2 linked regions of the Schizosaccharomyces pombe genome follow. Changing the gene in region 2 together with the main gene of any one other region gives a genetic interaction. Each region holds a gene or a part of one and is shown on either strand. Other genes may lie near its edges.

Region 1 (4,144 bases), on a different chromosome or scaffold from region 2:
ATCGCTTCGGAATGTAGATACACAGCAGTAGCAATGCAATTGTACACAAATTCAGTAAAATATGTAAAGTCCGCCTGGACGGGGGAATGCGAAAATAAGGCAGTGTGTAATCGCCGAAATTGATTAGCAAGCAAGTAATTGTCAGTGAATCCATTAGTCAACGAAAATGCAAGTGGGAAAAAAATAATTGAATGAATGGATCCATTCATTCAATTTATTATTTATCCCTTAAAAGAAAAAACTCTTTTGCTTATGATGTCCAATTGTTTACAAAAGCATCGGTGGAAATAAAAGCGCAAGTGCAGTATAACAAAACATACAAGCATAACCAACCTTACAAGCGCTGTGTGTCTTGCCTTGCAAAACCTCTATTGGGATGTACACCTAAGAAGGACTCTACTTAGGAAGGTGAAGGTTGTGGGGGTTTGGGTTCTTTGGGGGCCACTTCAGGTTATCCTAGATAAAAATATTCGGTGCTCTCTGTTGATGATTTGATGATGATTGCCATAAGTTCAATCAAGCTCCGAAATTCCATACCACTGGATCGCCAAGTGCAGTACATGAGGATAGATAGATTGGAAGCGACGGTCGAGTAGATATCGGATGGCCGAATGGGCAGAGAGTGTTGGTCGATAAAAAAGGTGGAGGAACCTCCAACTAGTACATTTACGAAAGGGTTATGATGGGAATGAGCAAAAGGTGGTCTCTCCTTGCAGGCAAAGAATGAGGAGGAAAAGGAGTAACGAGAGGTTCCTCTGACATTTGTGTGGATATGCACTCATGTGATTACAATTACCCTTTCCTAAACCCGATCTGTGCTTACACTTCGTATTGTGAATGGTTGTGAATTACTTAGGCATACATAGTGCACCATGAGAAGTCAGCGAAACAAGGTTGGCCCAATATGGAGAACAGCCATACGCACGAGTGTGTTGGAGCGTCTTTTCTGCGATTGCTGACCAAATAATGAATTAAGCTTTTTTTAGGATGGCGAAAAATGGGGAAAAGACATAGGATAATGACTGATGTACATCAAGGGAAACTCATCAAATCGCACAAGTTGCCGGATCCTGTGTCTCCCAAATACCCATTTACAAGGCATCCTTGTACATCTTTCTTGTTAGTTGCGCATCATAACGAAACCAGCGGTGCTAGTATACAAGGTATTTGGTTAAACAGTGTTGGCGACGGTGATGCTTGAAATTGAGTCATACATTGATGGTATCCGTATTAGACATGCTAAAAAAAAAAATTTGTAGTAGCGTTGCGTTTATCCCATAGTGTTTGGTTTAGGTTTATATTAGAGAAGCTTGGATTCCGCTTATTCAACAAGCGCTTATTCGAAAGTGCTTAGATCGCATAAGCGCTTATTGAATAAACTGTGTAAACTCAATAGGTAGTTCGGATTGTGCTTGCTAAATAGTACTTGGATTGTTTTTTAGTCAATAATACTTAGATTTTGTTTAAAGACAATAATACCTGGAACGTATACGCACTTATACTTGAACTATATTTACTCAATCACACTGAGTTGTACTTAATAACACTGAGTTTTCCTTTCAAATTACTATTTGTCTTCTCTTTTTTAGTTAATTGATCTACTTTTTCCTCGGCGTTTACATTAAACTCCACGTTAAAACTGAAACGCCTTTTAGGCTCCCTTAGAATACATTCCATTTGAACCCATATATATCTGATTTTTCAATAAACAATCATAATCCCTGTCAAACTAATTCAATCCCTCTTTGCACCTCTGTCTATTAACCTACTTCTAGTCCTGCGCTTGGGTTGACCCTCAACGTATACTTTCCCCGACTACCTCAAGCCCCCTTAGTCAAGTTGTTTCGACAATTTCCAAATATTTCATTCTGGGAATGATCGTTTTTCAAGTTCAAGCACATTATTTTATATAAGATTTGGTGGTCAGCATTTCACAAAGCTCTAACATAACCGTGCATAGTTGGAACCACTGAGGTGGGCCCTTCTAATCCTTTAATCCAAAAAAAGTATTTTCAAGTTGGTTCAAAGAACTGCTTCTCCATATAATCGTTTTTTTCCTCTGTATTATTGTTACAAAAACGTATCTATCGACCGATAGTTTCAAAAAATGCAATTCCGTTCACCCCTTAGGCGTTTTGATGCCTTTCAAAAAACTGTCGAAGATGCTCGCATAAAAACTGCTAGTGGCGGTCTTATAACACTCGTTTCCGGACTTATTGTCATTTTTATTGTTCTCATGGAATGGATCAATTACAGGCGAGTCATCGCAGTCCATGAAATCATCGTCAATCCCTCACATGGCGATCGAATGGAAATCAATTTTAACATCACCTTCCCCCGTATCCCTTGTCAAATACTTACTGTCGATGTCTTGGATGTCAGTGGTGAATTCCAGCGTGACATCCACCATACCGTTTCTAAAACGAGGTTGAGCCCTTCGGGCGAAATTATAAGCGTTGATGATTTGGATATTGGAAATCAACAATCTATTTCTGACGACGGAGCCGCTGAATGTGGTGATTGTTATGGGGCAGCCGACTTTGCTCCTGAAGATACCCCAGGTTGTTGCAATACCTGTGATGCCGTTCGAGATGCGTACGGTAAGGCACACTGGCGAATTGGTGACGTTGATGCCTTTAAACAGTGTAAAGATGAAAACTTTAAGGAGCTTTATGAAGCTCAAAAGGTCGAAGGTTGTAACTTGGCTGGTCAGCTCTCCGTCAATCGAATGGCCGGTAATTTCCACATTGCTCCTGGACGATCTACTCAAAACGGAAATCAGCATGTTCATGATACACGTGACTACATTAATGAACTCGATTTGCATGACATGAGTCACTCCATCCATCATCTTAGTTTCGGCCCTCCTTTAGATGCGTCTGTCCACTATTCCAATCCTTTAGATGGAACAGTGAAAAAGGTAAGCACTGCCGATTATCGCTACGAATATTTTATTAAGTGCGTTTCCTACCAATTCATGCCTTTGTCTAAGAGCACACTTCCCATAGACACAAACAAATATGCTGTCACACAGCATGAACGTTCTATTCGTGGCGGTCGTGAAGAAAAAGTCCCTACCCATGTTAACTTTCATGGCGGAATCCCTGGTGTATGGTTTCAATTTGATATTAGTCCTATGCGTGTTATTGAACGTCAAGTACGTGGCAATACCTTTGGTGGATTTTTGAGTAATGTTTTAGCTTTGCTTGGGGGCTGCGTTACACTTGCTTCGTTTGTTGATAGAGGCTATTATGAGGTTCAAAAGTTAAAGAAAAATTGATCAGATTGTTTATGCACTAAATTTGTTTTGTTTTGTTTTTCGTTCTTTTCTTTTCTTCTGTTTGGTCCTATCGATCAATGTAAATACCATCGGTTTCCATGGCAAGTGCCTGATTTGTAACTTTAGATACTCTATTTCCTATACTATTCCAAATTGATACCACTTGATATTTCATGACTCGCTTATCAATCACAAATTGCTTTTAGCCTCGTTTAGCAAACAACCACTCGCTATATTCACATTGAAGAGCATACGAACCACGCACTTTCTTTCCCTACATCTCAATTCATTTCTTTTAATGTTAAACTCGTCTTCTTTCTAATTAAACATACAAAGATAAAGATCTTTCTATCTGGTGTATTCAATTTTACAAGGACATATAGTATTAGATATATTCGCTTTCCGAACCTAAAGTATTGTCTTGATTCTATAGCATTTTAAATAAAAAGGAAATTAAAATGAATTGAATTGTCTTAAAGTATTAATAAAAATAAGTATTATTTGTAGTACGAGTGATCAAAATTTTTTTAGTTTTTTTTTAGTGCACTCCAAGGAAGATCGTGCCAAGCGGAATGGTATGAGTTGTCATATCCATACACGCTCTTCTACCATAAGCATAACCCCGAGACCGACAATCATACGTCTTAGAAGCCACAAGGAAAACCGATCGTTTCCATTGGAAACCAATTTCCCTTTTCCAAATACATACATTTACAATTAGCGCTCTTTTGTACGGTGTGATCCTATAGAAACGGTTTCGAAAAATAGCAAACCACAATTTGCTGCTTTGGATAAATCACTTTTAGAAAAGCTTTCGATTTACGTGTGAAAACGGTTTTAGTATAGTCGTTATTAGAGCTGCAT
Region 2 (3,838 bases):
GTTAGTACTCGTACTTCATTCGATGATTGAGTTAATAACGCCGTTGGTAATATCCCGAGAATACAGAAGCTTTTTAAAAGAAAAATATAGCAAAAAAAAAAAAAACTGGTAATGACCAGTGGATAAAGAGATAGCATTCGTTTTTTTTTGAATTTAGCAATTATTAATTTAAAGCATAGATTGAAATTCAGCATGTACACTACCAATCTTTTTTTTTTTTTTTTAATTTCAATAGTTTGTTTTTACGATTGCGAGCAAGCGCCAGAACAGATTATAACGTAGAAAATTCAATTCGTCTAACTTATGTCCTGCAATATTTTCGCTTAGCAAGCATACACCACACCACCGTCCAACCATTATCGACCTAAAATAAATTCTGTCATTCAAGGTTGATCACTCCTTTTAGGCAAGATAGATAATAAGACGATTTGTTATAAAACTTTCTTTCTCAAATTTTTCTGGTCTGTCAACCATTTAAAAGTAGTCCAAAGATTTAGAATCTTTTACTGTTTATTCAAATAAAGCTGTTTAGTATTTTGTAATTTGAAAATTAGAACGATATCTATAATCACTAAGCGAATAATCACTAAACGAATTATATTTCAAACAAAGCCTTAAATTAACTCGAAGCATTTTCGTCATAAAAAATTGAAACCAAATTGTTTCTACTAACAGATAATGAATAAAACTCCTTTCCTGTAGTGAATATGACGCTGAATTTTGGGTTAAAGTAGATGAAATGGAGTTTTTGAAACACAAGTGGGAGTCCAAATTGGTTCAATTCGAAATTTTTTATTTAATATAATATATTTTAAGCTTTTAAAAAAAAAATATATAAAAAAGTCATTTTTAGTATTTGAATAATTATGAAACGAAAGATAAAAACATTAGTTACATTAAGTGATAATATCTTAATTAAAACCATAATTTGGTTTGGTTCCATAATTGAAATTCATAACGAACGCACCTTATGTGCATGATTTGGACAGGACAGTCAATTCGAACATTGTTAAGAATAGTTATATTCTATATGATCATGAAAACGATAAAGAAAATTATTTTTTCACAGGAGTAGGCATATTTTGTAGTTCTATTTGTTCAATATCAGAACCAACTGTTGTTTCTGAATGTAATGCTGTTTCTCCGTTATGTGTAGGAAGAGTGTTAGAAACACAGACGTCTCCTGGTGTCACAATTTTAAAGCCTAAAGACAATATTACAAGTTTGTAAAGAGCCCAATGACCAAAATACAAAAGGCCAGTTATAGTTGCACCCAGGGCTGCTATAATCATTCCCAAGACTGCTATAATCATACCCAAGACTGCTATAATCACACCGGTCACCCGTAAAGCAAGTACCGCAAACTCTGCAAAGACTATTTTAAATTATTAGCAAAAAAAAAGAAAAAAAGCATCACTATAAAGGAAACATACAAATTAAACTAAGTAACATTAAAACAAGCAAACAAACGTAAATAGCAATAGGCACCCAAATTTCACTGTAGAACCGATTTTCATTTATCCAAATTGAAAGAAACTTTTGGACTTCGAACTTTTTGTCTACTGCGAATACAATGATAATAGACCAAATAATAAGCAAGGGCCAACGAAAATTACTGCGGGTAGAAATCCTTCCATCAGGATAATAGCTATTGTGGAATTTAGAAAATTCAGTAAAAAGGTCATTTAAAAACTCTTTTATTTTATTTGTTTTAATATTCATCTTGTCTTTTTGAGGCTTAATGGTGTTGGTAAAGAGGGATTGTCGGGATTGTCGAGATCGTTGAGATTGTTTGTTTACCTTTTCAGGCTTACACAAATCAAGTCCCTGCTCTAGGTCCACATTACAAACATCTTCCACCATAAATAACTCATTGTAACCAGGAGGTTCAACCTGTTTTTTCAAGCTTTCTGGATTTGACATTGGAATAGAACGACAGCACTGTAATTTGATGACTTCTGATTCACTAGTATTTTTCCCCAAAGTAAAATTAAAAAGAGTGGTTTATGGAAAATAAAAAAGAAAATATACTAAAATATTTTAAGCCATAAACGAGAAAATTAAAAAAAAAAAACCAAAATGGTGAATGTTTTACGTTCTGAGGTGTCTCATTTATTTAGGAAAAGCATTATGATGTTGGCATCTCGTAATCCTTACAACTTTTTTCTTTTCACAATTTAACAGCTACGCAGTTTGGTATCTGTTTAACGATACGTTTAAGTACGATGTGTTTTCCTTGTGACCTAGTATATTACAGTACACAGTAATACAAGTAGCATCTGCTATTGATATTTTTATATATGAATTAAATTGTTACCTAATCACTAAAGTAGCTGTAGCTTATTGCTGAACCTCGTTCTTTATTTTTCAGTTTTTCTCAATTTATAGCATTTAAAAATTTTTCTAAATATCCTGCATAATTAGTAATATGTCTATCTCTATAACTCAGAGTGGAAAGTTAATAGAGCAAATATAGAACACTTGACGTATGGTGTTATTCAACGTAGTAGTATTTAGTAGTATTGTTGACCTACATACATTGTATAGGAGATTATGCTTAATCCAGGGGATCATACAAAGGATTATCCTATAACCCTTATTTTCGTTCCGCAGTAAGTAGGTGTTTGTATGCTCTGAGGCTTAGTAATATATAGCGATCAAGAGAACGTCAATATCATAGAAATTTGGAACTATCTTCATCCTCTTTTTAATATTTTACCGATGAGATTGCTATTATTAGTTACGTTGCTATCTATCGTTGGTTACACTAATCAGTTGCTTTCCAACTGACCTCGAAGACGCTCCAGCTGTAATCTGGGTAGCCCAATTTCCTCCAGATAACACTACACAGCACTATGAATTCAGATATATCGTAAATGAATTATATAATGCTAGCAAGATGACTGCATTAATGAACCATATATATATCGATAATCCGCTTATAAGCAATTCAACTAATAACGTTACTCACGAGTTATTGATTGATCTCCATGAACTTTATAATGACGGAGAGATTTCCAGGATAGTTCTACTCAGAACTTTGGTAACTCAATCTGCGGATGATGCTACATGGATAATCAACTTGACAGATGATGTGCTTAATGGATTACCACTGCTGAAGAAGCGAGACCGATACACCACACAATGTCATAGTACAAATATGGCAAGCACATATGACTGTGACACTGGAGCCAATGCTGTTGGAGCCCGAGGTGGAGCCACGTTAGCAGCCGACTATAGAGGTGATTGGGGGGGGTAATGTTATACAAACCTTTGGTAGTAAAAGCGTGTCTTACTGAGATCTAGCATGTGATGTTTTGGCTTATTATCGATGATTGTTCTCAATCAAGAGCAAACACCCACCCTGAAGTATCAGGCGTTATACCTGGTTCTGCTGGAATGCGTAGAGTATGTGTTAGTGATAGAGGATCTGGGTGTTAATATTGCATCCCATTGTCCATAATAAAGATCAACACTTGAAGTTTTAAAACAATTAAAAACAACCCAAGTTAATTGTGTAAAGTTTAAATTGGAAATGTAGCATAGAGGGTAATACCTACGATAAATGAAGAAAAATGAAAACTTATAAGGATTAAGAGAAGCATTAACTTCATTGTCTTAATAGTATAGCGTAACTGTTGCAAGATTGACAGCGATATGTAAAAGTAGTATTTAATACAGCAGTTAAAAAATGTTCAGTCCCTTTAATTCCGGTAAAGCATTCAGTCATCCTACTAAGGAAAGATTCACAGAATCGACATATTGATTGTTATTCCTTCCAACTGAAGCGGCAGCTGACTTTGTGTACTACTGGTGGACTGAATCTATCATGATTAAC

What was found.
Region 1: mutations in SPOM_SPBC1348.01 (region 2) and erv46 together harm fitness more than expected from each alone (negative genetic interaction), as found in Schizosaccharomyces pombe (one large-scale study listed by BioGRID).

The regions. Positions count from the first base shown.
Region 1 is NC_003424.3:211,170-215,313, reverse strand, and holds erv46 (COPII-coated vesicle-associated protein Erv46), read left to right. Parts: upstream 1-1,790; 5' UTR 1,791-2,107; coding exon 2,108-3,280; 3' UTR 3,281-3,600; downstream 3,601-4,144.
Region 2 is NC_003423.3:3,536-7,373, reverse strand, and holds SPOM_SPBC1348.01 (uncharacterized protein), read right to left. Parts: upstream 1,924-3,838; coding exon 1,434-1,923; intron 1,376-1,433; coding exon 1,056-1,375; 3' UTR 545-1,055; downstream 1-544.